7 linked regions of the Oryctolagus cuniculus genome follow. The main gene of each other region encodes a partner of the protein of the gene in region 7 in a complex. Links are inferred from orthologs where the notes say so. Each region holds a gene or a part of one and is shown on either strand. Other genes may lie near its edges.

Evidence for each region.
Region 1: the proteins of THOC6 (region 7) and THOC5 are in contact, whole or in part, in a cryo-EM structure (PDB 7APK), measured with the Homo sapiens proteins. The link is inferred for Oryctolagus cuniculus from reciprocal best matches to the Homo sapiens genes THOC6 and THOC5. Residues at the interface, in NP_001334633.1 of Homo sapiens: Val5, Pro6, Ala8, Val9, Pro10, Leu11, Gly12, Gln13, Val16, Phe17, Leu20, Gln21, Leu23, His24, Met25, Thr26, Phe28, Tyr45, Tyr80, Asp94, Glu125, Val126, Pro127, Glu128, Asn130, Gly146, Tyr170, His172, Glu188, Trp222; in NP_001002877.1 of Homo sapiens: Pro406, Gly407, Asp538, Ile539, Val540, Asp541, Ala542, Gly543, Leu544, Ser575, Ile576, Ser593, Asp596, Arg599, Glu602, Gly603, Asn606, Val607, Tyr609, Arg660, Phe662, Arg663, Gly664, Pro665, Ser666, Arg667.
Region 2: THOC6 (region 7) and ALYREF share a complex: the UniProt entries of both Homo sapiens proteins name them as parts of the transcription/export (TREX) complex. The link is inferred for Oryctolagus cuniculus from reciprocal best matches to the Homo sapiens genes THOC6 and ALYREF.
Region 3: the proteins of THOC6 (region 7) and THOC1 are in contact, whole or in part, in a cryo-EM structure (PDB 7APK), measured with the Homo sapiens proteins. The link is inferred for Oryctolagus cuniculus from reciprocal best matches to the Homo sapiens genes THOC6 and THOC1. Residues at the interface, in NP_001334633.1 of Homo sapiens: Leu57, Ser58, Ser59, Glu60, Pro312, Glu313, Lys315, Thr330, Asn331, Gly333, Tyr334, Ala336; in NP_005122.2 of Homo sapiens: Ser227, Pro229, Ile230, Asp231, Tyr232, Leu234, Arg236, Val270, Ser273, Tyr274, Asp309, Leu312.
Region 4: the proteins of THOC6 (region 7) and THOC7 are in contact, whole or in part, in a cryo-EM structure (PDB 7APK), measured with the Homo sapiens proteins. The link is inferred for Oryctolagus cuniculus from reciprocal best matches to the Homo sapiens genes THOC6 and THOC7. Residues at the interface, in NP_001334633.1 of Homo sapiens: Asp229, Trp232, His245, Thr252, Gln268, Asp269, Gln284, Leu285, Ser286; in NP_079351.2 of Homo sapiens: Lys110, Arg113, Lys114, Gln117, Glu118, Ala121, Leu122, Val125.
Region 5: THOC6 (region 7) and THOC3 share a complex: the UniProt entries of both Homo sapiens proteins name them as parts of the transcription/export (TREX) complex. The link is inferred for Oryctolagus cuniculus from reciprocal best matches to the Homo sapiens genes THOC6 and THOC3.
Region 6: THOC6 (region 7) and SARNP share a complex: the UniProt entries of both Homo sapiens proteins name them as parts of the transcription/export (TREX) complex. The link is inferred for Oryctolagus cuniculus from reciprocal best matches to the Homo sapiens genes THOC6 and SARNP.

Annotation. Positions count from the first base shown.
Region 1 is NC_091452.1:22,917,905-22,922,328, reverse strand, and holds the start of THOC5 (THO complex subunit 5), read left to right. Parts: upstream 1-1,614; 5' UTR 1,615-1,734; intron 1,735-3,776; exon of another isoform or gene 3,777-4,424. UniProt on the Homo sapiens protein: Component of the THO subcomplex of the TREX complex which is thought to couple mRNA transcription, processing and nuclear export, and which specifically associates with spliced mRNA and not with unspliced pre-mRNA.
Region 2 is NC_091448.1:1,021,179-1,025,463, forward strand, and holds ALYREF (THO complex subunit 4), read left to right. Parts: upstream 1-1,452; 5' UTR 1,453-1,605; coding exon 1,606-1,842; intron 1,843-2,098; coding exon 2,099-2,230; intron 2,231-2,890; coding exon 2,891-3,038; intron 3,039-3,562; coding exon 3,563-3,626; intron 3,627-3,701; coding exon 3,702-3,873; intron 3,874-3,960; coding exon 3,961-3,975; 3' UTR 3,976-4,252; downstream 4,253-4,285. Other genes in the region: ANAPC11 (anaphase-promoting complex subunit 11), read right to left, coding at 1,070-1,178. UniProt on the Homo sapiens protein: Functions as an mRNA export adapter; component of the transcription/export (TREX) complex which is thought to couple mRNA transcription, processing and nuclear export, and specifically associates with spliced mRNA and not with unspliced pre-mRNA.
Region 3 is NC_091441.1:56,798,191-56,801,838, reverse strand, and holds part of THOC1 (THO complex subunit 1), read left to right. Parts: intron 1-520; coding exon 521-621; intron 622-2,654; coding exon 2,655-2,721; intron 2,722-2,919; coding exon 2,920-2,970; intron 2,971-3,060; coding exon 3,061-3,131; intron 3,132-3,461; coding exon 3,462-3,557; intron 3,558-3,648. UniProt on the Homo sapiens protein: Component of the THO subcomplex of the TREX complex which is thought to couple mRNA transcription, processing and nuclear export, and which specifically associates with spliced mRNA and not with unspliced pre-mRNA.
Region 4 is NC_091441.1:85,848,480-85,852,804, reverse strand, and holds the start of THOC7 (THO complex subunit 7), read right to left. Parts: upstream 2,857-4,325; 5' UTR 2,631-2,856; coding exon 2,612-2,630; intron 1-2,611. UniProt on the Homo sapiens protein: Component of the THO subcomplex of the TREX complex which is thought to couple mRNA transcription, processing and nuclear export, and which specifically associates with spliced mRNA and not with unspliced pre-mRNA.
Region 5 is NC_091437.1:62,188,731-62,192,953, forward strand, and holds the start of THOC3 (THO complex subunit 3), read right to left. Parts: upstream 2,822-4,223; 5' UTR 2,694-2,821; coding exon 2,427-2,693; intron 1,921-2,426; coding exon 1,764-1,920; intron 1-1,763. UniProt on the Homo sapiens protein: Component of the THO subcomplex of the TREX complex which is thought to couple mRNA transcription, processing and nuclear export, and which specifically associates with spliced mRNA and not with unspliced pre-mRNA.
Region 6 is NC_091442.1:58,622,803-58,626,450, reverse strand, and holds part of SARNP (SAP domain-containing ribonucleoprotein), read left to right. Parts: intron 1-1,160; coding exon 1,161-1,207; intron 1,208-1,423; coding exon 1,424-1,491; intron 1,492-3,648. UniProt on the Homo sapiens protein: Binds both single-stranded and double-stranded DNA with higher affinity for the single-stranded form. Specifically binds to scaffold/matrix attachment region DNA. Also binds single-stranded RNA. Enhances RNA unwinding activity of DDX39A.
Region 7 is NC_091450.1:32,413,951-32,418,134, reverse strand, and holds THOC6 (THO complex subunit 6), read left to right. Parts: upstream 1-1,314; 5' UTR 1,315-1,410; coding exon 1,411-1,449; intron 1,450-1,458; exon of another isoform or gene 1,459-1,833; intron 1,834-1,920; coding exon 1,921-2,036; intron 2,037-2,143; coding exon 2,144-2,208; intron 2,209-2,294; coding exon 2,295-2,398; intron 2,399-2,469; coding exon 2,470-2,507; intron 2,508-2,582; coding exon 2,583-2,631; intron 2,632-2,733; coding exon 2,734-2,805; intron 2,806-2,893; coding exon 2,894-2,996; intron 2,997-3,079; coding exon 3,080-3,129; intron 3,130-3,208; coding exon 3,209-3,271; intron 3,272-3,369; coding exon 3,370-3,480; intron 3,481-3,565; coding exon 3,566-3,700; intron 3,701-3,785; coding exon 3,786-3,866; 3' UTR 3,867-3,946; downstream 3,947-4,184. Other genes in the region: HCFC1R1 (host cell factor C1 regulator 1), read right to left, coding at 142-277, 455-571, 904-998. UniProt on the Homo sapiens protein: Component of the THO subcomplex of the TREX complex which is thought to couple mRNA transcription, processing and nuclear export, and which specifically associates with spliced mRNA and not with unspliced pre-mRNA.

The sequences.
Region 1 (4,424 bases), on a different chromosome or scaffold from region 7:
GCCTGTCTGGGTTCTCTCCCAGATCTGGGGGTGGGGGGTGGGGCTGAGCTCAGACCTGGGGAGCTGAAGGGTTATGGGGTCCTGAGGACTCCCGCTCTGCCCAGAGTCTCTCCCACCCACCGGCTTCCCCGGCCAGTAGTTCCTCATCTCCCTGAACGCAGATCAGAACCTCTCATGTCTTCACACATTCCCTTGGGATCCCTCACCTCACAGCTGTCCGTCCCCAGTTAGCATCTCAGTAAACCTTGGCTTAGCTTAGTTGCGCAAAAGGGAGTGCGACCAATGGTTCGAAGTGGGGTGGGAAGGGAGGAGGCCAGGCCAGGCCACACCCTCAGGACTCCCTAGTCTCCACTGGACCACCCACTTGCTGCACAGTCTGAGCCAAATCCCTCATGCTGTGGAAAAGTCTGGAACTGCCAAAACCCTCAGATCAGCACCCAGAGAGGCAGAGCGATGGCACGGGAGAGGAAGGACGTGGGGGCGGGAGCCAGCCCCAGAAGCTGGAACGTAGAGTTCTGACCCTGGTTCTTGAGCCACAAAATTTGGAAGACAGGTCGGAGTGACAGAAGACCGTTGGGGGAGGGGCTCGTGAGTACTAGACGGATGGAGAGAGGCTCACCTGTCCCTTCCTGCAGGCTCAAGCACAGGCCAGGGCCCCCTAGTTTCCTCCCCCTCACGCGACAGCTGCCAGCCCAGCCCTCATAGGGACACCGGCGTGGAGTTGGGTAGCGACCCTGGGAGCTTCCTCTGTGACCCCCATACCTCGTGAACCCCCCGGGAACTTGATCTGCCTCCTGTCCATGAAAACAAGTACTGGGGTGGCTGAAGGAACCAATTAAATATTTACTATAAGTCACCGTGTCTGTTCTTCATCTGCAAGGAACTTGAGCGGATGCTCGAGGCTGGGCAGAGCAGAGCGGGCCTGGGCAGAGCAGAGCGGGGCTGGGCAGAGCAGAGCGGGGCTGGCCAGCTTCCCTGTCCCACATGGCTGATGTCCCCAGCCCTGGAGGACGTTGCGACCCGAGCTAGGCTCAGGGAGGCATCTTCAGCCTCGCCCCAGGGCAGGAGAAGGAACTGTCCCTGTACAAACACCGACTTGACACAGGTGTTTCTAGCTCCGGTTGAGGACCTGCACCAAAAATCCTGGGCCCTGCTGCACAGTTCATGCCAAGTGTAGGAAACACTCGATGCTTTCAAATACTGCCTTCGAGTTGTGATACTGTCCCGGTCAAATCGGGCCTAAAATGGAGAATCTGGTGATGTGACATGTTACGGTGAACACAACGGTGGTTACAAAGCCAGGTTATGGAGTCGAATTCACCAGGGTCCAAGTGTTGGCGCTACCAGCTCTTGCGTTATCGTGGGCATGCGGCAACCCCTTCATTCTACGACTGGGCAGAGCGCTCGCTCGTTGCTAGGCACTGCTGTAGCACCTGGGAAAGTGAACGAGACGTATGAGTCTTTGTCCTTACGGTCTCGGTTTCCCTGTGTTCGAGAGCAGCCGGGGGTGGCTGGCCGGCTAGAGCGCCCACAGCTTAGTCGCTCGCCACGATGTCGCCCCCGGCGCAGCACATCCACGGCCATCCGGGAACTTGGCGTTTCGCTTCCGGCCTCCGCGCCCGCCTTCCGGAAGGCCGCTCCTTCCCTTCTTCCGGTTCTCTATGGTGCAAGGAACGTCATCACCTAGGCGCCGGAAGTGGCTCGTTTCCAGAGACAGGTTTGCGGAGCTGTTCGGTGAGGAGGGGACCAGGGTGGCGACCTGGGTGGCGACCTGGGCGGCGGGCAGGGCCGGGCGTTCTGGGACTGAGGTGCGGACTGCCCGAAAGGTGCCCCTGGGCGGCGGGCTTTTTTTGACCTTGCTCTCCGGGTAGGCGCCGTGGGGCGCTGTTTGCTCATCTGGAAAATGCTCGCGGCCGCATCCTCGGGGTCTGGGTTGTAGCCGCTTGGTGATGAGGGACGTGTGGAGCCTGATGGGGATGGTGGCGGTGCTGGTGCTAAGAGTGCACATTGGCCACGCGCGTCCGCGTGCCGGACAGCCTCCTGCTTTGCCAGAGCCAGGATTTACCGCATTTTCAGTATTTGGGGTCGCACTTTTGTGGCTTTGTCGAATCACTAATTATTGTTTACTCACTTTAGCATTTTAAAATATTTGTTTATTTGAAAGAGAGAGAATGAAGGGAAGGGAATAAAACCCCCCACCTGCCACTTAGCTCCCCAAATGCCCTCGGCAGCTGGGGTTGGGCCTGCGTGGGTGGCAGGGCCGGAGCTGCCGTTACCTGCTGCTTCCCGGGCTGTGCGTGAACAGGAACCTGGGCTCGGATGGACTCGAGACTCCAGCCTGGGCATGTGGTGTCCAAGCTGCGTTCTAGCCATTGTACCAAATCCTCCGCCCCAATCTAGGCACCTTTCTTTCTTTCTTTTTCAATTTAAACTGACTCGAGAGAAAACGTTTAAGTCTCCACAATAAACGGAAAACCGTTTTCACTTTTTTTATGCAGATGGTAGTGATGAAAATGACAGTAATAAATATAGCGGGGAAGTGTGATTGTTAATGATCTTTGGCCAGGTTTCATTGTCTAAGGCTCCGAGACCGTCCTTTTGTTGCGTTCATAGCTGTGGACAAGCTAGGGAGCCGATGTTTTCTTGGAAGTAAACAGAAGTTTCAAAAAGGAACTGGAAAGGGATGAACTCCCGTGCTTGGTGTGCAGCAGGGGTGGCAGGGGTCCAGTACTTAAGGCCGACCTCCACCGCCTTCCCAGGCACACCACACATCAGCAAGGACTCAAACCCGGGCTCTGCTGTGATGTGGGGTGCTGGCATTGCAGGCAGCAGCTTAGCTCACTGTGCCGTCATGCTGGCCCCTAGGTGTTCAGTGTTATCTAAGGTCACTCATGTACCATTTATTTTTTTAGACAGATTTGTTTATTGTAGAGGCAGAATTACAGAGAGGGAGAGAGAGACAGAGAGAGAGGTCTTCTGTTCGCTGGTTCACTCCCCAAATGGCCGCCCGCAATGGCTGGAGCTGGGCTGATCTGAAGCCAGGAGCCAGGAGCTTCTTCTGGGTCTCCCACATGGGTGCAGGGAACCAAGCACTTGGGCCACCTTCTACTGCTTTCCCAGGCCATAGCAGAGAGCTGGATAGGGAGAGGAGCGGTTGGGACCTGAATGCCCATATGGGAAGCCAGCACCGCAGGTAGAGTCTCTACTACTGTGCCACAGCGCCGGCCCCTCATGGACCATTTAAAGCCCCAAGTTTTTTTCTTTGCTCCCTCTTCCCCCTTAAGAGGTGATTTGATTAATTGATTTGAAAGGCACACTGACAGAGAGGGACAGAGAAACTGTCCATCACTGGTTCACTTTCCAAATGCCCACGACAGCTGGTCCAGGTCAGGCCTAAGCCAGAAGCGCCATCTGGGTCTCCCATGTGGTAGCAGGAACCCAAGTCCTTGGGCCATCACCAGATGCCCTTTCCCCGTTCCCCAGAGGAGCTCCCATGTTCATGCCCACAGCAACCCCTGAGGCAGGGGCTGTTGCTCTCGTTGATTTTGTGAGGATGTAGACCAGAGGAAAGGGAAGCGACTTGTTCTAAGACTCATAGCGACATGATATCGTAGGGAGTCCCACTCAGGTTGGGATTCCGTCATGACACGCTGTTGGCTCTCAGTGTTACAGATCAGGAGCTGTGCTGCCTGCCTCAGGAGAGACTGGGGATGACCATGAGGGGTGGTGACTGCTGAGCCCCGTGGAACATAGCTTCTGATCTTTGTAAATTTTAGGGTCAACCAGAATATTTATGACACCGTCATAGGATATGCTGGCAGGACGAGGAGGCTTGAGGATGTAGCTGTCTAGAGCCCCGGTGTAGCTGCAGATGGACCCAAGCTTCAGCATATTAGCATGGTGACTAGGCAAGTCATTTCCCTTCCGAGCCTCCACTTTCTCATCTGGGACACAAGTAACAATTCCCATCTGAAAAGTTAGGAAGATCGAATGTGAACACACCCATGAAGTGCCTAGGTGAAGGCCCACCACGCTGTGACCTGTTGGTTGTGTTGGGAATAAGCTTATTACGTGCCAGACTAAGGAGCTACCAATTTATGGAGCGTTTCGCCAGGCACATGGGGAAGAAAGTCAGAGAGAGAAATCCTCTAATAGTGTATCCCAAATACCCAAGGGAGGGCCTTGGGGAGCCCTGAGAGGCTTCCTGGAGCAATCAGTGAGCATTTCTTAGTCTTCAGGTGCACAGAGAGAAGGAGGAAGATCTCTGCAAGATTGTGTGGCGTGTTCTGGGACCCAGGGTGCTAAGTGCAGTTGCAGCCAGGACTCAGGTTAGTGGGTGGCAGAGGAGGCTTCCTAAGAACAGGAATGCAAGGAATGCAGTTGGGCAAGTGGGCTGTGGACAAACCAAGGCCAGCAGATGTCCA
Region 2 (4,285 bases), on a different chromosome or scaffold from region 7:
CTGATCTGCTGGAACCACGCTTCTGGCCACGGAGAAGGGCTGGGTCACACCCAGGCACGGGGGCCCTGTGGACCAAGGTGCTGCCCTGCCTAGCGATGGTCCCTCTGGGCTGCGGCCACAGCCAGCAGGCCCTGCTGTAGCCAGCGCTGAGTGCCTGGACGCCCCTCACAGGCCCAGTGCCGGCCACGCGAGAAGACACGACAGGCAAGGCCACGGTTAGAGACACTGCCTTGGTTAGAGACGTGGGCTCGGGCAGCTTCCTCGGGACTTGCCGAGGTTAACAACGTTGCTCTGAAAGGTGCAAGCCCTGGCCTCGGGCTGTGTCCCGCCCTCCAGAGCAATCTAAACGCTGAATAACGCCAATTGCTAATCTCTGCTACCAGGAAAAGCCAATCAAAGGGCCGGCCTGGAGGGGATGACCCCGGGGCACGACAGAAGAGGGTGTGGAGAGAAATCCACTCCCAGAGCCCGGCACCCACCCACCGACCCAGTCCCGGCGGGCGATCGCTCCTGATGAGCTCTCTCTCCAGCCAGGGTGGAAGGAAAAACTAAACCACAGTTAGGGGCCCGCGCTGTGGCACAGCGGGTAAAGCCACCGCCTGCAGCGCCGGCATCCCGTATGGGCCCCGGTTCGAGTCCCGGCTGCTCCACTTCCCACCCAGCTCTCTGCTGTGGCCTGGGAACGCAGTGGAAGACGGCCCGAGTGCTTGGGCCCTGCACCCGCGTGGGAGACCCGGAGGAGGCTCCTGGCCCTGGGTCGGCGCAGCTCCGGCCGTTGCAGCCATGTGGGGGGTGAACCAGCGGATGGCAGACCTCTCTCCCCGCTCTGCTTCTCCGTAACGGATTCTCAAGTAAATAAGTAAATCCTAACAGGCGCCGCGAGCCGCTGCCACCGCGCCCCAGGCGAGGGCGGTGGGGGCTCCGCAGATTTCTCGGTGCAGGGGCCGACGTGCGGCCTCCTCCTCCCGTCCGGGCAGGGCAGCGGCGATGGCCCTGCGCCCCCGGGGGCACCCGGGCGGCGTTCCGGGCCGGCCTCGCGCTCTCCGCGACCGCCCTTCCGGGCACTCACAGTCGGGGCAGCAGCCGTTGAACGCCATCCGGCAGATGCCGCAGTTCTCGTCGTTGGCCACCCAGAGCCAGGTGGCCACGCCGTTCCAGCACTTGATCTTCACCCTCATGGCGCCGGGGCCTGCGGGCCGGGAGGGGCGCGCGTGAGCCGGCAGACGCCGCGACCCCCGGCCGCCGCCGCCCGCCGACCCCGCCCCTCGCCCGCCCGGCCCCGCCCCCCGCGGCCGCCCCAATCCCCGGCGCCCTCGCACCTTGTGCGACCTGACCGCGCGCCGCCCCGCCCTTCCGTTGGCGGCGCCCGCGTCCGCGCGGGAAGGTATAAAAACGACCGCGGCCGCGGCCGGCAGCTCCAGTCCGCGCCCGCCCGCTCCGCGCGCACTGCGCACGCGCCCCTCCGCCCCGCGCGCGCAGCCGCCGCCCGCCGCCAATCAGCGCCAGCGCCGAGGCCGCGGCGCCGGAAGTCCGCGCGCGCCGCCGGAAGTGACGCCGCGGCGTGCTGACGCGCGGGATCGAGCTGAGGCCGATTCGGCGCCCGCCATGGCCGACAAAATGGACATGTCTCTGGACGACATCATCAAACTGAACCGGAGCCAGCGGGGCGGCCGCGGCGGGGGCCGGGGCCGCGGCCGGGCCGGCTCCCAGGGCGGCCGCGGCGGCGGAGCGCAGGCGGCCGCGCGCGTGAGCCGCGGCGGCGGGCCCCTCCGGAACCGGCCGGCCATTGCCCGCGGCGCGGCCGGCGGCGGCGGCAGAAACCGGCCGGCGCCCTACAGCCGGGTGAGTGCCGGGCCGGCCGCCGCCGCGGGCGGCGGGGGCGAGCGGGGCCGGGGGTGCGCGCTGCGGGGGCCGGCGGCGCGGGGCGGGCCGGGCGGCGGCGCGGGCGAGGCCGCGCGGGGGAGCCGGCCGGGCGCCGGGGCCTCCTGGGGTCTTTGTGTGGCCGGGGCGCGCGGGGCGGCGGGAAGTGCGTGGGGGCGCGCGGGGCGGCCTGCGGGGAGGCTCACGCTCCGCCCCGCCGCGGCGCCTCCTCCCGCAGCCGAAGCAGCTTCCCGACAAGTGGCAGCACGACCTGTTCGACAGCGGCTTCGGGGCCGGCGCCGGCGTGGAGACGGGCGGGAAGCTGCTGGTGTCCAACCTGGACTTCGGCGTGTCGGACGCCGACATCCAGGTAAGCGGCCGGCCGGGGCTGGGCGGGGGGCCGAGGCGGGCCGGGCCGACCCCGCGAGCTGGCAGCCGGGCGGCCTCGGACCCGCGTGGGTGCAGCCTTTCTGGTTTCCCGCACTCTCTTTTGTCTTTTTTTCCCTTTTGCTCTGAGCCCAGGGGGGCTGGCTCTTGCCTGGGGCTGACTGGTAGGAGTCCGCCTTCGGACGGCCGGCGGACGCTGGGCCTGAGCGCTGGCTTTTTCTAAGGTGGTCTCTGGCGTCCACTGGAAGCCGCTCTCGGTGACCTCCTTCCCGCTGTGCCCGCGGCCGGCGTGTCCCACTCTGGTTCCCTCTCCGACGCCCAGCCTGCCTGGGGTCAGGCGGCTCAGCAGCACTTGGCTGCGGGCGTGGGGCGGAGAGGGAGGGGGAGCCAGCCTCTGCCGGGGGCGGGGGCGGGCCGGGCAGCTGCCCCCGCCGCCCTGGGCGCAGTCAGTTTGCTGGAAGTGACGGCAGACGCGGGCTTTGCGATTCCATCCCCTGCAGCGAGGCGCGGATACGCAGCGGCCCTGGGCCCCGGGCGCTCTCGGAAGCTGCTGTGTCTGCGGCCCGGCCCTTCCCCCGCACCCCGGGAGACGCCCCACGGCGCTGGGCCTCCGGGGCCTGGCTACAGCTCTCTGTCTGACCAGGAGCTGTTCGCGGAGTTCGGGACGCTGAAGAAGGCGGCCGTGCACTACGACCGCTCCGGCCGCAGCTTGGGCACGGCAGACGTGCACTTCGAGCGGAAGGCGGACGCGCTGAAGGCCATGAAGCAGTACAACGGCGTGCCCTTGGACGGTGAGTCCGGGACGGGCTCGCGGAGTGGGCGGCCCCGGCCCGTAGCAGCGGCTTGCCCTCTGGCTGAGGACACTTTGCATTTGCCCCTTTGTCTCTCTCTTCCATTCTGCCCCGCACATCGGGACCAACCTCTTGTGAACCCCCATCCAGCAAGTACACCCTCCCCTCAGCTCCTTCCGGAAGACTCACTTCTGTGAAGCCTTCTCAGAACCGCCATAGTACACCTCTGAGTGCGGGGCTGTAGTCGTAAAGACAAAGGTACCGGTTCTTCTTCGTCAGGCCGCCCACACCTGTCCGCCCACGAGCACCCCGGACACCACACCTGACCAAGCAGCCCGAGGATGAGGCGGTGTCGGCGGGGCCGCTGCCCTCGCCGGAGCCCCCGCCAGGCTCCAGGCCACCTCCCCGACGGGGGCGCTGGACACACGAAGGCCCTTGCCAGCGCCTGCATGGAGCGCAGGGCGTGGAGCCGCTGGGCGCTCCGAGCCGCTGGTTAGAACGGGCCCCTCTCGCTCTCCGCACAGGCCGCCCCATGAACATCCAGCTCGTCACGTCACAGATCGACACCCAGCGGAGACCGGCACAGAGGTGAGGCGCGGGCCGCGCGCGGGCCGGGCGGCCGTGGGGGCCTGCCAGTGTCTGAGCGAGCGCCGCTTCCCCCAGCATAAGCAGAGGCGGCGTGACCAGAACCCGCGGCCCCGGGGCCTTCGGCGGCGGCACCCGGAGAGGCGCGCGTGGCGGCAGCCGCGGCAGGGGCAGAGGCACCGGCAGGAGCGCCAGGCAGCAGCTGTCTGCAGAGGAGCTGGACGCCCAGCTGGACGCCTACAACGCCAGGGTGAGTCCCGCGGGGCCGGGAGCGCGGCTGGCCCGGCCGGCCCGGCCCGGCAGCCCCTGGTGAGCTCCCCTCTGTTGCCCTTTGCAGATGGACACCAGCTAAAGGAGGCGAGCGAGCAGAGCGGGACCGACACGGCGTCCCTGTGCCTGGCGGGAGGGCGGCCGGCGCTGTGTGGCCAAGGATGCGTTTGTTTCTTTTGTGTTTTAAAATAGGATTTAAGAACTCATGTAAAGGCTTTTTTTTTCTTTTTCTTTTTTTTTTAAATTCTGAAACAGACCTGTTTTGTACTGAGTTATTTTTGGGATAAATTTTACTGGTTGCTGTTGTGGAGAAGGTGGCGTTTCCACCTTTGCCATAATAAAATAGAGATGTGTGTAGAGCGGCACTGCCTGGTCCATGCCCTGGGGCTGGT
Region 3 (3,648 bases), on a different chromosome or scaffold from region 7:
GAATGACCTACAAGTCCTTTCTGATCCACAGTCTGTGGCAGTACAAGTATGATGCAGTTTTCTCTGAAATCTGACAGACCGTTTAATTCACAGATGATTCTCCACCTCTCATTCCTTGTTAAGAGCACCTCCTCTGTTGCAGGCACTTTGTAAGAGGATCACCCTGGATGTTAATACATTTTTCCAAATGGACCTCCCCTTTAGCCATTATTTATATGTGAGACAGTGTGGCCATACTGTTATATTTCCACCTTATTTTGTTCTGATGTCAAGACCACAGATGGGACCTTTTTGACCACCAACATGAATATCTCACGGCATAAAATAACCAAGGAATCAAAATGACACCTCTGCTGCTCTGCCTTGGGCGTGTACAGTAATGCCTCACAGGCAGTGCACTCTCAAAATATTTTTTTGGTTGAATTGGAAACTTCCATTTCTATAGTAACATAATGTGTATCTTTAGGCAAAACTTATTTTAATGTGCTTTTTTGTGTGTGTGTGCTTGTTTTTTGAGTAGTTGATGGATTTACAGCTGAGTGACAGTAACTTTCGTCGGCACATCCTGTTGCAGTATCTCATTTTATTCCAATATCTCAAGGGGCAGGTCAAATTCAAAAGGTAAGTTAATATTGGTAGCAAGAAGTTTATAAATAGCAGCAAAGAAAAGGACTTATTGTTGTAATTTTTTTATGTGTCGCACCAATTTGATGTTAAGAGCTCCATCCCTGTAATACTTCTGTTTCAGCAATGTATAGCTGACTGGGGGTTTTTAGATAGTAGGATATCTGTTTTAAGGAGCAAGTGTTAAACATACCTACTCTCAGATAAGTCTTTCCTGCTGAACTTTGTGCTTCTGGGGAATTCTTTATTCCTGGGTGGATGGAGGTCTCTGCTACAGACTCCCATTATTCCTTTCTCACCTCACTCAGACCTCCTCCTAAGCTAACTTGCAAACTAAGCCATTAATCTCTCTCACAAGGTGTGAAGCCATTTAGGACATTAAAACTGAAAGAAGCAAAGAAAATGCTTGAAGCCAAGAGGGGTTCTAATTTCCTTGGTGTGTCACAAAACCTCATAAGGATCTCTGTATGTGAATGCTTCCATCCAGAACAGACCATTTCCTTTTGTCCTGTCCATGTAGAATTGGAACCTACTGTTACGTGACAGTATTTTTGTTTAGTACACAAAGAAATTCAGTATTATATAAGGGACCTAACTTTACTACTTCCTGGGGTTTAGTCCAGTGTTATCACTTGCTGGCTTCAATACATTGCCTTCAGGCTTTTTTTTTTTTTTTCTTTTTAAGATTTCTTTGGGGCCAGCTCTGTGGCACAACAGGTTAAGCTTCCGACTGCAGTGCTCGTATCCCATATGGGCACCAGTAATAATCCCAGCTGCTCTGCCTCCAATCCAGTTCCCTACTAATGTGCCTGGGAAAGCGGTGAAGGACAGCCCAAGTGCTAGGATCCCTGCACCCACATTGGAGACCAAGAAGAAGCTCCTGGCACCTGGCCCAGCCCTGGCCGTTGCAGCCATTTGAGAAGTGAAACAGCAGATGGAAGATCTCTCTCTCTCTCTCTAACTCCGATTTTCAAATAAATATTCAGTTTTTAAAAATTTATTCATTTAATAATCAAAAAGCAGTTAGCAGAATGAGCTATCTTCCATCTGGGTTCACTTCCCAAGTGCCCACAACAACCAGGTCTGGGCCAAGCTGAAGCCAGGATCCTAGAACTCCATCCACATCTCCCAAGTACTTCCTTCCTCTGCTTTCCCAAGCACATTAGCAGGCAGCTGGATTGGAAGCAAAGGATGCCAGCATCACAGGCAGTGGCTTAACTGGCTGCACTCCAATGCCAGCTCCCAGACTTATAATTTTAAGGTAGTATATGGTAAACATTTAACAATCTTTTTTTAAGATTGACTTATTTATTTTAAAGGCAGAGTTACTGAGAGAGAGAGAGAAAGGTCTTCTGTCTGCTGGTTCACTCCCCAAGTGGCCACAACAGCCAGGGATGGGCCAGGCCAAAGCCAGGAGCCTAGAACTCCTTCTGGGCCCCCCACGTGGGTAGCCTGGGCAAATGATTGAGCCACTGTAGTCTCTGCTTTGTGAGTGCTGTAGTAGTTCTGGGAAGTCAATGGTTGAGCTCAATCCTGCAACATGGTAGGCTATCCATAATTTCTGTATAGCACTGAATGCACAATGACAGTTCAGTTAATGGCAAGTAATAATAAATGGGTTTGCTTTTGGCCTTTTCTCAGGTTTTGTTTTTTTTATTCATTGTTTTTTGAATGAGTTTTAAAGGAGTAGAGCATGCCTGTCTGAATGTGTATCATCTATAGGAATGTTAATATTGTCTGAGGGGCTTTCATCCTTCCTTAAACTTACTTTAGAAAACATCTGTTTTGGTCATTATATGATTGATTAAGTAAATGTTTTATTATTCCTTATGTCCCTTATATCCTCACTTCTAACCCTCTTGAGGATGAAATGTAGAGTTTTCTCTTAAAATCTCCATCAGTGTTGACACTTATTTACAGTATCGCTAACCTGTACATTATATACCTTATGTTTCCTCAAGACCATAAATAAATCTCAAAATTGAATAGACATTGCTGTAATGCAGTGCTTTTATTGCTTTGTTCCCTAGTTCAAACTATGTTTTAACTGATGAGCAATCACTCTGGATTGAAGATACTACAAAATCAGTCTATCAAGTAAGTCCAACATGCAACAAACCCATGATTGAAAAAAATGGAAATTTAGAATTTTCTTTGTTTCAGCCCCAAATAGGAAAATAAGGATAAAGTTAAGCTCAGGTACAAGACCACAAACACTTCTTGGTTCTCTGCCTACAAACCACTTCTATGATGCAGAAAGTTGTTGAAAGCTTAGTATATTCTTTCTAATCACAGCTACTATCTGAAAACCCCCCTGATGGAGAAAGATTTTCAAAGATGGTAGAGGTATGTAATTTATATTTTACTTAGTCATCTTAGTACCAAGTAGAGAATTTCATAGGATTCTGTTATGCAAATATAATTTGTTTTTATCAGCATATATTAAACACTGAAGAAAACTGGAACTCATGGAAAAATGAAGGCTGCCCAAGTTTTGTGAAAGAAAGGTAAATAAATACTCATATCTTATGAAAAAGGAGGCAATCATTGAAAAATAGTTTGACCTGATTTTTTATCATGTACAGATGCATATGCACATTTCACATATTAAATGTAAAACTCTTTGGTTTATTAAGTTCCCAGACCAAATAGATATATTAATTATTGAAAAAATGCTATAAACTACTCCTTGTATTTGCCCTTCTTCCTGATCAGTGTTCTACCATAATATGAAGTTTTCATCTTTAGGAAGAAAACAGCATAACTAAATTTTCTTTAATTCCTTCTCTGCTGTCCATCTGTAGTTCCAAAAATAGCTCATATTTTGTTCTCCACAGAACATCAGATGCCAAGCCCACAAGAGTAGTAAGGAAGAGAACAGCTCCAGAGGACTTCCTAGGGAAAGGACCCAACAAGAAAATTCTTATGGGAAAGTAGGTTAAGTTGTCTTTGTATGTGGGATGTTCTTTCTTGTATCTTTTGAAAATGTTGTAAGAATTCTCCACTTGTTCCCATGCAAATATA
Region 4 (4,325 bases), on a different chromosome or scaffold from region 7:
AGGCACAGTCCCTGTCCAAGCAAAATACAAGACAGACTAGCAGCACAACTTACATTTAACACTGGTTACTGAACACAGTGATATATCAGACTCAGTGCAAAGCCCTTTCCAACTTTAATGCTCAAAACAACCCCCTGAGGGGAATTCTCTATCACTCCCATTTACAGAGAATGAAAGTGAGGCTCAAAGAGGCTAGTTAACCCATACATACATGGTCAGATAGCTTGGAAGTGCTGTGGAGTGGGGATTCCCTTGGCCTCCCCAAACGTGGGGGGCACTTGACTGCAGGCAGCCATCTCCCCAAGTCCCATCTGACAAAACCGACCATTTCTCTACAGTTTTCTACCTGAATAAACAACCCAACTTGTACTAGTAGGCATACTCAAGTCAGATACCCCGGATCAGCCTCGACGCCTCCCCTCACATGTGCTCATTCAACGAAGCCCTACCGTTCTACCTCACGCGTCCTCTCCGGGTGGGCATTCCATGACCTCTCACCAGGACCACCACCCTGGTAGTGCAAAGACAACATGTGTAACAGGCAAAAGCAAGAACTCTGAAGCCAGTTTGCCTGGGCTCTGTAACTTACTACCTCTGTGCCTTTGGCCAAGGTAACTTCTCCGTGTCTCATTTTCATCTGCAAAGCAGGGATAAGAAGGAGGACACTGCTCAAAGCACGATTTAAATACTATGTAAAAATCAGTGAGGGGAAAAGACACTCATGTAGCTCCTCACTTTCCTTGCCCCTTCTCGTTCACGTGTGTAGTGCAAAGCTGATCCCACCACACCAATGGTACAGCCTTTTCATGTTATTCTATTGCCCTGCAAAGTGTCTGGCTCCCAACTTTCTAAATTTTACACAATACTATAATTCTTGATTTACTTCAACACTTAGATGCCTCTACACAAGTGGATTCTCACACAGAACTCTAGTCTAGTTACAGCTGTTTTAGTCTCCACAACTAGGATGAAGAAAAATTCTTACAGGGAGGTGTTTTGATCTGTTACAGGGCCCGGTGCTGTGGTGCAGCAGGTTAATGCCCTGGCCTGAAGCGCCAGCATCCCATATGGGCCCTGGTTTGAGTCCCAGCTGCTCTACTTCTGATCCAGCTCTCTGCTGTGGCCTGGGAAAGCAGTAGAAGATGGTCCAAGTCCTTGGGCCCCTGTACCCGCGTGGGAGACCTGGAAGAAGCTCCTGGCTCCTGGCTTTGGATCGGTGCAGCTCCAGCCGTTGTGGCCAATTGAGGAGTGAACCAGTGGATGGAAGACCTCTCTCTGCCTACCCTCTCTCTGTGTAACTTTGGCTTTCAAATAAATAATAAATAAATCTTAAAAAAAAAAAAAAAGAATCTGTTACATGCCCCTACAGCTCTCAACCATGTACTTTCCCTGTGTGAACACTTGCCCGTTTTAGAACGAATTCTCCAATGCGTTTTTTCTATCAGAATCTAACCTCAGTGTGGGGAAAAGGCCTTGCCTATTGGTTCTTGGCTTCTGTTTTGAACAAGGCCTCGCAAGGGGTAGAATACATTCTCTACCGAATAAAAGAAACCGGAAGGAAAGGAAGTAAAAATTTCCATGGAGTCCCTGGGCCTTTCAAAGCCTCCCACCTACACTACGCCTGTCAGCCCACAAGTCTGGGACCAGAGCTGTTGTTTCCATTGTCTGATCCTTACTGTAGGGACCCTACGGGTCCTCAACTCTTCAGAGCTGGACCGTCCATAGGCAACTATAGTTCCTGGTCACCTTCTCCACAAATAAACCCCAATACCGCAGATATCCATGGGCCTCTTTCTTTCCTAACCAAATACCTTTTAGGTTCCCCGTCCAGTCGCCCATCATGGCTGTTCACCCTTCCCCAAATCCAGTTTCCTTCTTTCTGCTTGCCGGTACAACGGGTCCACAACCCGCCCTCCTTGATCCACACCCACACGCCCCCTTTACCGACCTGATCCCTGTTCAGGCTCCTTACCTAGTAACCCTAGCACCCAAGTAACACTTTGATTGCCCTGCAAGGGCCTCATCCACATCTACTCCTTCCAGATCACGTCTCCAGCAACCTGTCCCAACCTCAAATCCACTCCTCCTTGAAGCCCTCATGGCATTCCACCCACAGGTTCCACGCGCCCTTCGCCATCTGCCCAAAGGACCCCTTTCAGAGGTCGTCTCCCTCTGTAGCCACTTCATATCCCGAAACTTCTAGGGCTCCCACTCCATTCCAGACACCCAGCCCCGCGCCATCCCCACCCCCTGGGCTCCGCCAACCCGGGACTCCATCATGACCCGGGACAGCCGAGACCCCGTCTCCCGCCCGGCCGCCACGTGCGTTCGCAGCCCCCGGCGACCCTCCCGGCACACCCTCCACGGGCCCCGCGCACCCTCGGCGCGCGGACCAAGGCGCCCAGGGGGCCTCTGCCACTAGGGCGAAGGGCTAGGTGAAGCGGCCGGCAAGGCCTGGGGCTCCTGGGATAGATCGGCAAGGCCGAAGGGCTCGGCGGTAGCGGCCGGGGAGGCCGAGGGGCTCCCGAAAGCGCCGTTCCCCGCCGGGGGGGTCTCAGGGAGGCCGAGGAGGGCTGGGGAGCGGACCGGGGCGACTGCGAGGGAGCCTCACCGTCTGTCACGGCTCCCATGGCGTGCGCGGCGGCGGCGGCGCAAGCTGAGGCGGCGGTTGGCGGCGGCGGCGGAGGTCAAACTCCCACAATGCAGCCGGGTAAACAGCCATGGAGGAGGAGGCGGCGGCGCCCGCGGCCGCCTGCTCCGACGCCTGAGCCGCGCCGCGCCGCCGCCGCCGCCGCTGCCGCCGCCGCCGCGGGACCCGCGCCCCCCGCACTCCCCGCGGGAGGCTGCGGCCGGCGCGTGTGGGGTCGAGGCCAGGCGGCCGGCGGCGGCCCCGGCTGCAGCCCCGGCCCCCGCCGCCCCCCCTGCCGCCCCCGCCCGGCCCACGCCCAGAGGCCGCCCCGGAGGCCGCCGCCAGCCGCCAGGTGAGCTCGCCCGGGCGCCGCCGAGGCTGCGGGAGCGCGGCGGGGGCTGCAGGGCATTGAGAGTCCCTGCGTTTCCCCGGGGAAGGTGACCGCGGCCGTCCCACTGCCCCATCCTGCTGGGCGGGGGTGGGGGGTGCGGGCTGGAGGTCTCGCTCCCTTGGGGGTGAGGAGGGCGTGGGGGCGCCTGGAGCCGCCTGAGCCTGGGAGACGTGAGAGGAGGCCACGGAAGGGGCGCGGCGTTGGGGGTTGGGGGAGGCTCGGTGGTCCTTGCGAAGTTGGCGCCCACGCGCGCCGAGGCTGGTCTCGAACGCGGGCACTTGCGCCGGGCGCCGCCAGCAACCAAAGAAGGCCCCGAGTTCCAGGTCGCGCGGTTCCGGCCCTGGCGGCCGCCCCCTTCCTTCCTGGGCTCTGGCGAGTGCAGGGGAGAGGGTGAAAGAGAAACTTGTGGACCTCCGGGAGCAGTTCGCGGAGCCACCGGGAGCGTCGTCCTGGCCCGGCACCCAGACTCCCCCGCCCCCAACCCCTCCCCGAGCCGGAATCCCGTCGGTGAACGCGATTGGGTGCTTTTATTTATTTTTTCCTTGCATTTTCGAAAACTGTCTTAATGTGACTGTCCCCCCTCTTAAGGGGAAGTTGAAGAGAAGGGGCGGGGGGGGGGGGAGCGAGAGGTGTGTTCTGGGAGAGACGTTGCCTTGTGTGTGAATTACACATTTCCGGAGCACCCTGCAGATTATATTGGCCTCTCTTCCCCAAAGTCACTGATTCAACTTCGACGAACTTCTCGTAAAAGGCAACGTTGAAGTGGCGGTGGATGAGAGGCGGGCAAGCAAACTCAGGCACCAGTACAGCCAGTTGGAGCTCCAGTGAAACGCACGCTTAGCCCCAGAAGCACGTCTGAATTTTGAATGTAGCCTTGGATAGTTTATGGAGGCACCTGGTTAGTTTCCCAGTTGTCCGGCCCCTGTCCCGTGCACCCTGGGTCTTCCTACCCGGGATGAAGCAGTTGTGTAGGATGAATTTGGTTACTGCCCTGATTGACTGCGTTTACTCAACTTAAGCTCACTCTTTCCCGCGCCAGTGCTTTCAAAGAGGAAGATTTGTCAGTCTCAGTATCTGACAGCGAAGCTAGCTACCCCTTAGCTAGAAATCGGTAAATGTAAATTAGATTCCTATTCTGTGAGGCCACTAACGTTAATAATACCATTACTGTACTATCCAGAATTAGTGCTCAAGAATTTGACTTTCGGCACCAAGGCAAAAATTGCCTTGGGTAAAGAGTCTCTGGCATGACCTGCCCTCCCCCGGCGTGTGCAGCCTCCCTGGTTTGGGAAGAATATTGGCCTA
Region 5 (4,223 bases), on a different chromosome or scaffold from region 7:
GTGGCAAAGCCAGGAAGTCACAGAGCTAAGATTTAAACTGTATTTGCCCTCAAAGCCTCTTATTCTTTCTTACATCATGTCTCAAACTCCAAAAGCTACACTTCTCTTTATTCAAGACTTTTTCTAAATTTGACTCAAAAATAATGTTTCAATTAAACAATAAATCCTAGAGATTAGTTTTCTTTTTACATCAAAATATATACATAATCAATTTTTAATGTCCATCCATATACAACTTAAATCACACACGTATCACCAGCTGTGTGAAGCAAGCACTACACCATTCCACCTCTAGGTCTAAGTCGGGTCCAGTGACCATGCTGAACACATCCATCGAGAATTTCAGGGAGCAAGCACTCAGCCTAATGGCTAAGACACCTGCACCCCCCAGAGTGCCTAGGTCTGATTCCTGCCTTCGGCTCCGAACCCTAGTTTCTCACTAATGCCGACGGCAGAAGGCACTGGTGATGGCTCTGTTCCAGCCACTCTCACGAGGGACCTGTCTTGTATTCCAGGCTCCTGACCAGCCTTCACCGACATCTGGGGAATGAACCAACAGATGGAAGCCCTCCCTCACTCACCCATGCTCTCCCTTTCTCTGTCGCTCCGCCACTCAAATAAATAAAAATTTAAAAACTTCATCACCTTTATTCTTTTTTTTTTTTTTTTTTTTTTTTACAGGCAGAGTGGACAGTGAGAGAGACAGAGAGAAAGGTCTTCCTTTGCCATTGGTTCACCCTCCAATGGCCGCCACAGCAGGCGCACCGCGCTGATCCAAAGGCAGGAGGCAGGTGCTTTTCCTGGTCTCCCATGGGGTGCAGGGCCCAAAGTACTTGGGCCATCCTCCACTGCACTCCCGGGCCACAGCAGAGAGCTGGCCTGGAAGAGGGGCAACCGGGACAGAATCCGGCGCCCCGACCGGGACTAGAACCCGGTGTGCCGGCGCCGCAAGGTGGAGGATTAGCCTACTGAGCCACGGCGCCAGCCGATCACCTTTATTCTAAAATGTACATTTTCACAACTTAATATTTATGATGCATTTTAAAATTTATCAAGAAGCATCTCAAAAATCGTGGGGTACCAAGGTTATTTGGCAACTTTCTGTCCTAATGGCATAAGAAATATTGATAAATCTCCTATCAATAATATCTTAGCATTAAGTCACGGTTTCATGATTTACAAGGTAATACCTGGCCAAAAATGTACTGCACATCGCTCTAGTCCTGTTCTCCCAGGCCACCAGGGCCATGCAGGCCTCACCCCTTCATTAGAGGGTTTCCTCCGGGAACCACCTCCCTCCTTACACACTGCACTCTGGCCACGAAATTCCTACAGCCATTCAGAACTGTACTGGAATTCCAGGAGGCTTCCCTGTCTCACCTGGGGTGTCCACCATGCTACAAGATGAACAAGTCCTATTCACGCAAGTCTCTCTCCTCCCCTTAACCTTGAGGCCCTAGGAGCTGGACAGTGTCTTGTTCAGTTCAGGATACCCCAGACTTAGCAAAATGCCAGGCACAGGGGAAGACACGGGGGTCCCTCAGCAGCCACAGGAGACTGGTTCCAGGACCCCTAGATACAAAACCCCATGGACGTGTTGTAAGTCCCTCACAACAAGGCGATGGCATTTCACAGAGCCTTTACACACTCTCCTGATACTTTAAATCACCTCTGGATTACTTCCGATACGCAATACAAGGTGAGCGTCAGAGGGTGCAGAACCAACACAGGCTTATCTTCCTGCCGTCCCTGGGCACGGTCACCTTTGGTGTTCACGGTGGCAATGCATTTCGTAGTCCTCACATCCCAGATGCGAATGGTCTTGTCCCCGGATGCCGTGACAAAGAGGTCGGGATTACTTGGATGCCAACACAGCTGGTCCACACTATCCCCATGTCCCCGGTAATTGTTTTCTTTAACCTGGAAGCACAGAATCCACGTGTCATTTCCACCAGGCACAGCCGCCCGCATGTGTAACCCACCTTTATTCAAACCAAGGTCTCTCACTAGCAACAAGCGCTCAGCCCCTCCAAGCCCGTCCTCCTCCCTGATCACTCTGAACTGCTCTGAGCTTCTGCCCTCTCCCCGCCTCTCTGGTTCGCCACCCTCACTCTACCCTAATGTCCCAACCCACAAGACCCAAATCATTTTCAAAGGCGCCCCTCCCTACCACAGGGACCCCACCAGCACCACCACCACTGCCCCCGGCCACTCCTCACGGCCACACGAAGCCTTCCTACTGTTCCCCTCACCTCACACCCTTCCCATCCACCCCATCACACCCCCACACACCCTCATCTCCTCGTTCCCTCCTCTCCTACCCTCACGCTCACTTTCCACTCCACCTCCACCCTGCCCCTCGCCCACCCCCACCTCAATTCATCAATGCCCCTGTCTCCGGCCTAGGCCGGGCCCGGGCGGCTCACCAACCGGTCTTTCTCCAAGAGGAAGACGCTGGCCGTCTTGTCGAACGACCCCGAGGCCAAGCGACGCCCGTCGCAGCTCCAGGCCACCGAGTGCACCTTGGCGCTGTGCGCGGGGAACTCGCGCGTCTTGCTGTGGCCCCGGAACAGCTCCTGCATCCCGAGCACGTAACGCGAAGGGCCGCTACTCATTGAGCACCAGGGGGCCATCGAACCCGGCCCGCTTGGGCCCAGCGTCGAAGGCCCCATGGCAGCCGGGGGCACCGCCATGGCGAACTCAGAGACCACAACTCCGCCACCGCGGTTCCGGCACAATCAGTCCTGGCGCCGCCACTGCGCGCATGCGCCCGGAGGCGCACCCTGCTCTGCGCAGGCGCACCATGCCCCAGCACCAGAAAGGACTACAAATCCCGGCGTGCAACATGAGCCAGGCTGCGCGCTTTCTGGCAGGCGCGATTCCGCTGTAAACTGGCTTCACGCTTAACGACTCCTATACAGCTTGGGTGCGTGGTTCGCTTGGCTGTCTCTAGATGGGTGTATTTGTATCCCTGTTTAACTGAAGAAGGAAACCCACGGTAACCTTGCAAGCAGTTTACCTATCAGTAAATGCCCTTGCTCTAGTATTAACCCTCCCCCTGGAGCAGAGGCCCTGGAGAAGGACTGGGGTGATATTGTCCTGAAAAAGGGCCCGGGAGGAGGGAGGAGTCCGCGATTTTTTGTTTTCCCAGAAATCTTTTATTTAAGGAATACAAACTTCATGCATTTCATAGTACAACTTTAGGAACATAGTGAATCTTCCCACCATACCTTCCCTCCCACCCCTCTTCCTCCTCCCTCTCTTATGCCCAGTTTTATTTTTCACTAAGATTTATTTCCTGTTAACTTTATACACATGATTAACTCTATACTAAGAAAACGGTTCAAAAAGTAGTATGAAGAAAGACAATCGAGACAAGTGCTGTTCAAAGTCGTTGCATCTCCAAGTGTCAATTTCACTTCTATAGATAAACTTTTAGGGGCTCTAACAGTTATCACAGATCGGGAGAACATATGGTATTTGTCCTTTTGGGACTGGCTTATTTCACTAAGTATGATGTTCTCCAGTCTCATCCATTTTGTTGCAAGTGACAGGATTTTTTTCTTTACTGCTGTGTAGTACTCCATGGTGTACATATCCCATAATTTCTTTATCTAGTCTTCAGTTGATGGACATTTGAGTTGATTCCATATCTTAGCTACTGTGAATTGAGCTGCAATACACTGCGGGTACAGATAGAGTTCATTTGCTGATTTCAGTTCCCTTGGGTAAATTCCCAGGAGTGGGATGGCTGGGTCATATGGTAGGTCCATATTCAGATTTCGGAGGTATCTCCATACTGTCTTCTATACTGACTTTACCAGTTTACTTTCCCACCAACAGTGGATTAGGGTACCTTTTTCCTCACATCCTCACCAGCATTTTGTCGTTTGGTGATTTCTGTATGAAAGCCATTCTAAAGGGGGTTAAGGTGAAATGTCATTGTGGATTTGATTTGCATTTCCCTGAAAGCTAGTGATCTTGAGTGTTTTCTCACGTGCCTGTTGGCCATTTGGATTTCCTCTTTTGAAAAATGATTGTTTAACTCCTTTGCCCATTTCTTAACTGGGTTGTTTGTTTTGTTGTTGTTGAGTTTCTTGATCTCTTTATATATTCTGGTTATTAATCTTGTATCAGTTACGTAGTTTGCAAATAATTTCTCCCATTCTAAGACAAAATTTTCTAAACAAAAGAATATATTCAGGGGCCGGCACCATGGCTCA
Region 6 (3,648 bases), on a different chromosome or scaffold from region 7:
TCAAGTCCTGGCTGCTTCACTTCTGACCCAGCTCTCTGCTAATGAGCCTGGGGTAGCAGAAGATGGCCCAAGTGCTTAGGCCCCTGCATCCATCCATGAGACTCGGAAGAATTTTCTGGCTTTGGCCTGGCCCAGCCCTGGCTGTTGTATCTATATGGGGAGTAAAAGTGAACCAGCGGATGGAAGATCTTTCTCTGTCTTTGTCTCTGTCTGTCTCAAATAAATACATCTTAAAAAAAAAAAAAAAAAAAAGGTTGTGTAGAATGCATATTATGAAAAAACTGTATGGATTTCATAATTTTTATATCAAAATAAATTTATCTTTATTTGTGTTTTCTGCAAACCTTTTGAAGTATCCTCATGGTGTACTGTTAATATTATGAACTACTTGTTTTCTTTATGTTCATGTGAGAGTCTTTCTGGTATATATATCCAGGAATGGGATTGCTAATTACTGTATACTCATGTGGCCAAACTTAATGTGACCTAACATGCCAGGTTTTTCCAGATTGGTATATAATCTATACTCTCATCATCAGTGCATGATCATTCTTGTATCTCCACAAACCTAAATTTGGCACTATTAAGTGGCCTAGTTTTTGCTAATTCATTGGTACAAATGAAAAGAAAATTAAAATCTCTTATGTGTTTTTTTGAGGGGGTGTTTCTTTTTTTGCACATTTTCCTGTTGGAGTACCATCATTCACTGTTGGTTTACAGGCTTTTCTTTGTTAGTTTTAGATACAAATATCTTCTTTGTCATTTGTCTCTTAACTTTTTCTGTGGTGTACTTTCTTAGTAGAAGTCTTTAGCTTTTTTTAAGAAATCTTTAATTTTCAACAATAGCTTTTGCTACTAGGTTTTTTTTTCTTTTTTAAAAAGAATTCTTCTCAGTCTCCCACATTACTTTTTAAATTACTTTTATAGTTTGACGTTATCACATTTATTTCTTTAGTGTAGCTGAAGTTCAGTTTCATATCGATGTTAAGTAGAGATCTGATTTTATCTTCTTCATATGTAGGAAATAGTTTTTGTATCAGTTCTGCCTTAAATACTAAATTTTACTTTGGGAAAACAAAATGATCATAATTTTAACTGTAGTACAGTGATCAAGATGGTTTTGTAGCAGGGCTTGACCTGAATATTTTAATATTCTTTAGCTGAAGAGGAGGCAAATGAAGAAGATGTACTGGGAGATGAAACAGAGGTGAGTTGGAGGAGTAAAGTTAGCCACTGACCTGATCTTGTTTTGCCTTGGCCACACTGCTTAGCATCAGTCATGGCAGGTCTGAGATGCTAATTTATTAAGGGAGCACACAAGGGGAATTAAGGTTCTGAGATACTGATTAACTTTGGGGTTCTGATATTCTTTTGGGTATTTACTCTAGCTTTATGTTAACCATTTTGTTTCATTTGGTTTTAGGAAGAAGAACCAAAGCCCATAGAATTGCCTGTCAAAGAGGAGGAACCCCCTGAAAAAAACATTGATGTGTAATTATATTTTTTCTATAATCTCAGTACAGAGCAGACCTGTTTTTATTGGGTGTTATGTTTCACTCTGTTTGCCTCTTCCACATTCCCACTGGCCTTTTCCTTTCTGTTGGATCATACATTTCCTGAAGAGTCTGTTTTACTCTCATGTATATGGTCCCAATGTAGCAAAGCAGTTTGTCTCTTAAGTTTTCTAAAAGGTAATTAGGACCAGGTGACTTCCAGCTCAGACAGTTTAGTTCTCCTAGTTTTTGTTGTTCTTTTTGAGGATCACCGTAGTAGATTATTCTATGACTGTATAGAGAATCTGAATGTAAAATTCTCTAAACTCTGCTACTCTTTTCTTTTCCATAATATAACTAGTTTTTTGAGAAAGGAAGGTGTTGGGTAGAATTTGTCTTTTGTTTAAACTATCCTACAAGGTTGATCATAAACATCTTTTTTATGGGAATTTTCCCACAACTGCCTTGACCATTTTGTACTCCAGCACATTGAAAACAGTTGATGTGTAAGTACAAATCGGTACATAGTGAAGTATATAGAAAATTAAGTACCCTTTGTTTCCACCTCATTTGAATTCCCAGAGGTTTTTTGCACATTGTTTTGGAATGAGTAAAATGTGTGTCTGTGAATGTGTATGTATAGGTATATGTATACACATGATATGGACACTCTTGTTTTTTTTTCACATCTGGAGTTTTTTTTTTTTTTTTTTTTTAAAGATTCATTTATTTGAAAGGCAGAATGACAGACAGGGAGGGACACAGAGAGATTGATCTTCCGTGCGCTGATTCACTCCTGCAACAGACACAGTGACCGTGGCTGGACCAAGATGAAGCAGAGAGCCAGGAATTTCATATGGGTTTCCCACATGCAAGGGCCCAGGCATTTGAGTCATCCTGTGCTACCTTCCCTGGGCACATTGGTAGGAAACTGGATTCGAAGCAGAGCAGCTTGGACTTGAACTGGTGCTCTGATATGGGATGCTGGTATCGCAAGTAGCAGATTAACCTGCTGCACCACAATGCCCTCCCCATCTGGAGATATTCCTATATCATCATCATCATATCCTAATTTAAATGTTATGTTAGATATAGTTCTAAGTATTTTACACATACACTCAAATAATCCTCACATTGATTCTATAAGTAGGGATACTTAGTAAGTGTTAAGTCTGTCTCTTTTTCTTTTAGCTTGTTTTGGGAAATTTAAAGTATGGAAAAAAGTTAGGATAGTATAATAGACTATTATATACCCATCACCCAGATTTGGTAATTCTCAGCTTAGAACATTATTTCTAGCCACTAATAGTACTGCATTTTGTGAATAAACAGTAATTTATTTCACCCGTCTCTGGTTGATGGGCATTTAGATATTCCTTGTTCTGATTATTTTTATATTTATATTATGCGAGGATGTCCATGGAACAGGTGTTTTTTTTTTTTAAGATTTATTCATTTATTTGAAAGTCAGAGACAGAGAGAGAAGTCTTCCATCCTCCGGTTCATTCCCCAAATGGCCACAATGGCCAGGGCTGGGCCATACTGGAGCCAGGAGCTTCCTCCAGGTCTCCTGTGTGGGTGGCAGGGGCCCAAACACTTGGGCCATATTCTGCTGCTTTTGCCAGGCTATTAACAGGGAGCTGGATCGGAAGTGGAGCAGCTGCAACATGAATTAGCACCCATATGGGATGCCAGTGTTGCAGTTAGTGGCTTTACCTGCTAAGCCACAATGCCCTCATGGTACAGATTGTTAGCTGCGGATTTGCTGCATCATAGAGGATGTGAATGTTTTTATAAAGATCGGTTTATTTGAAAGGAAGAGTTGCAAGGGGAGGTGGTGGGAGAGAGCGAGTGATCTTCCATCTGCTGGTTTACTCTCCAAATGTCTGCAGCAGTTGGGACTGTGCTATGCTAAAGCTAGGAACCTGGAATTTATCTGGATCATCTCCCACATGGGTGGCTGGGCCCCAAACACTAGGGCCATTCTCTACCACCTTCCTAGGCACATTAACAGGGAATTGGAACAGAAGTGGAGTGGCTGTGACACAAACTGGTGCCCATATGGGATCCTGTATATCAAAAGGGGCTTACCCCACTGTGTCACAGTGCCAGTCCAAAGGATGTACATTTAACATTTGGATAGATTTTGTCAAAT
Region 7 (4,184 bases):
CCTGCGCGGCATCTTTATTCTGCTCCCCGGGGACACAGTCTCCCTTCCCACGCTCCTGCCCCCGTGGGGCTGCGAGGTCCGGAGGCAAGAAGGCCGGGCAGGCGTCTGGCCCCTCCGCGGTGCAGCTGGGGAGGCGGGCACTCAGAGCTCCATCCCGTCGCCGGCTGGGGTCGCAGGGTGGGAGGGCGTCGGGGGGTCCCCCAGCCTCAGCAGCCGCAGCGCCTCGGGGATCAGGCTCCCCGGGTAGCGCCAGAGTAGCACCTCCGAGCTAGGGCGGCTGGAAGAAGAAGCCTCAGTGAGGACTTGGGGCCCGCTCCCTGCCCAGGCCCCCAGGGCACTGCTCGGGAGCCAAGACCCGGAAACGGCACGCTCGGAGGAGAGTGGCTGGACGCTAAAAATAGCACGATGAGGCAGGGCCCGGAGCGGCCCGAGGACCTTGAGCGATCCTGCCTACCTGGGTGGGGGGGAGACCCCGGGGGGGCTGCAGTAGGGGTGGTCGTTGTGCAGGCTGAGCCGAGAGAAGTGGGTGGCCATGCTCTCCTCCGACGGGGAGTGCTTGCGCACGGGCTCCCTGGGGAGATGGGGAGGAAGGCGGGCGGATGCGGGCCGCAGATGACGGAGACCTTGTGGGTCTCGCCGCTGGCCGCTTGTGCGCGGAGAGCGGAGCTGAGAGAACAGCAGGGCCAGGCGCACCCCGTCCCCGTGGCCCGGTCCCGAGCAAGTGCGCACTCGCCAGGAGCGGACCCCTCGGCCACCAGCGGCCCACCGCCCAAGTCCCGACCCTGAGCTCCAGCCCAGGAGCCGCCGGTCCACCCTGCTCCCAGGCCTCCCGCAACACCAGCCCCGGGCCCCCGGCCCAAGCTCCTGCGACGCTGACGCCCACCCCAGGGCCCCCGCACTCACCTGGCGTCCAGGCCGCGACTCGTGCCCGAGACGGCCCGGGGGTCGCGCAAGGCCCGGCTCAGGGGGCCCCGCTCCAGCGGCTTTTGCAGGATCATTAGGGTCCGGGGTCGTGCGGGCAGAGGGGTGGGAGCCGGGCGGCAAGGGGCGGGGTCTCCGAAGGCGTGGCCTAAAGCGAGGGGTGTGGCTTTAGGAGCGCGCCGCGGCGGCCTTCTGCGCAGGCGCGAAAGACGCGGCGGCACGCGGCGGGAGGGAGGGCTGGTTCCGCGGGGTGGGGGAGGGGGCCGGGCGTAACCGGACTGCCGTGGGCACCGCTCTTCGGTATCGGGGGGCTCCGCGGCGCTAGCCTCTGTTGCTGGGTTCGGGCAGGTTCGCGGTGACCGCCTTCGCGCCGGGCCGGCTGGTAGTGGTGAGGCGGCGCGGCAGCTCAGAGAGGGGAGGCCCGCGCGCACGTCCGGAACCGGGAGGCCGCGTCGCGCGCACGGCACTCTGGGTCTTGTAGTTCCGGCGATGGAGCGGGCTGTGCCGCTCGCGGTGCCTCTGGGTCAGGTGAGCCGGACGCGGAGCGCGCTGCCTTCTGGGGTTCTGTAGTCCACGCCGGGCTCGGACGGGGCCGGCAAAGGGGCCTGCCGTGAGCCCTGTGTTGCGTGGCTGTGCGTGGGAGTCGGACTGTAGCTGAGGGCGGGAAAGGAGCCCAGGAGTGCCCCGTGGGGCTGACATGACATCCAGAGGAGTGGCTGGGACTGAGGACGGGATGGAAGAGCCGCCTTTTAAGTGCTGTCCGCGTGTGCCCAGCGCCCTGCGTGCAGTAGCTCGTCTCCGTGTCAGCGCCCCGTGAGCTCCACCTGACGGGGAGGCTTGCGGGCGGGGCGTGATGCTCGCCCGGGGCTCCCTCTCCGTCCTCTTGCAGCCCCCCTGGGACTGCCTGGGCAGGTACCTGCTTGGAGGCCGCCGCCCCAGAGGGCCGAGAACTCGGGGGCGGGGGCAGGGAAGCGGGTCTCATCCGGCCGCTCCCCCTAGATGGAGGTGTTCCAGGCCCTGCAGCGGCTGCACATGACCGTCTTCTCCCAGAGCATCTCCCCCTGTGGGAAGTTCCTGGCGGCCGGCAACAACTACGGCCAGATCGCCATCTTCAGGTACCCCCGGCGCCTAGGCCCTGGCACTCAGCTTGCCCCTGCCCCCGGGGGGCACCGCAGCCCTCTGCTTCCGGCCCCCTGAGCGCCCCCTCCCGCTCCGCTTCCAGCTTGTCGGCCGCCTTGAGCTCAGAAGCCAAAGAAGAAAGTAAGAAGCCGGTGCTGACCTTCCAAGGTGGGTCTGCCTGTGGGATCCGGCCCAGGGGACCCTGGTGGGGGAGGGTGCGGGTGGGCCCGCTCAGGCTCTGCATCTCCCCCTAGCTCATGAGGGGCCCGTCTACAGCATGGTCTCCACCGATCGCCAGCTGCTCAGTGCGGGGGATGGGGAGGTGAAGGCCTGGCTCTGGGCAGAGATCCTCAAGAAGGTAGGGGTGTGGAGCGGGAGGAGGGGCTGGGACGAGGAGGCCTTGGGGTCACCAGTGTTCCCCCTGTGCAGGGCTGCAAGGAGCTGTGGCGCCGTCAACCCCCGTACAGGTGAGCCAGGGCCGCGGGGGTGGGGGCAGGGAGGTGGTGTGCAGGTACTGACCCTGCCTCCCCCCACCCCCCCAGGACCAGCCTGGAAGTGCCGGAGATCAACGCGCTGCTGCTGGTGCCCAAGGTCTGAGCCCTCTGTCCTGGCACGAGCTCTGCTGCTTCTCTGCGCCCCCCTCCCCCCGCCCCTGCTTCGCAGCCACTCCCAGCGCCCCCTGCCTCTCTGCAGGAGAATGCCCTCATCCTGGCCGGAGGGGACTGTCAGCTGCACACCATGGACCTGGAGACCGGGAGCTTCACCGTGAGCCGTGGCCTGGCATCCGGGTGGGTCCCAGCGTGGGGGGTGGGCACCCCGGGGTCCGGGCCTGAGCCTGCGGCTCTCCCTGCAGCGGGCCCTGCGGGGCCACACGGACTACGTCCACTGCCTGGCGCTGCGGGAGCGGAGCCCCGAGGTGCTGTCCGGCGGCGAGGATGGGGCTGTGCGGCTTTGGGGTACGGCGGTGGCTGGGCGGGTGGGGGGCGGATGAGGGGGAGCCCTTTGGCCCCTCGCCCCCCTCATGGCTCCCTCCCCACAGACCTGCGCACGGCCAAGGAGGTGCAGACGGTGGAGGTGTACAAGCATGAGGTGAGGGCGGGGCCACAGCCTCCTCCCCTCCCCCTTCCTGGCTCCCAGCACCTTCAGGTCTCCCCCTCCTCTCTCCCAGGAGTGTGCGAGGCCCCACAATGGGCGCTGGATCGGATGCTTGGCCACGGACTCAGACTGGATGGTGAGCTGGGCGGGGTTCAGGCCGTGGGGGTGTGGGGGCGGGGGGTGGAGGCTCCAGGCTGTCTGCTGAGTGGCTGGGGCTGCTGTCTTCCTGCCCAGGTGTGCGGAGGGGGCCCAGCCCTCACCCTGTGGCACCTGCGGTCCTCCACGCCCACTACCGTCTTCCCCGTGCGGGCACCACAGAAGCACGTGACTTTCTACCAGGACCTGGTGAGGCCCCCATCTCACGTCTGCCTCCCTCACCGGCCCCCCCTGCAGCCGCGGCCCCTGAGTTCTCTCCCCGTCCGCCCCCCAGATTCTGTCCGCAGGCCAGGGCCGCTGCGTCAACCAGTGGCAGCTGAGCGGGGAGCTCAAGGCCCAAGTGCCTGGCTCTTCCCCAGGGCTGCTCAGCCTCAGCTTGAACCAGCAGCCAGCGGCCCCCGAGTGCAAGGTGGGTCCCCCAGGTGCTGGGGGGGCAAGGCGCCCTAGGAGGCCCCGGGGCCGGAGCAGGCCAGTCATGCCCGTCTTGCTGCCAGGTTCTGACTGCGGCCGGCAACAGCTGCCGGGTGGACGTCTTCACCAACTTGGGCTACCGGGCCTTCTCCCTGTCCTTTTGACGGCCGGACACCTGCACCCCCGCCCAGCAGCCTGTACCTTGTTCTGTTTTTTCACAATAAAGTTTGTTTTTTATATATTACTCTGTGGGATGCTGAAAACATAAGTACCCGAGGGGGGGGGCATGCCCGGGCAGGGATCTTGGAGCTTAGAAGCTTAGAAAAGATAGACCTCTGTAGATTCCAAAAATAGACGGCTCTGCCCCACCCGCTGCTGCCACCTCCCGGGCCCGGCCCCGGCCCCAAAGCTGCTCCCCAAGAGCCCCAGCCCAGCTCCTGCGCGAGGCGGCCACCTGGGCCCCCCCGGTTCATTGCCGTTGG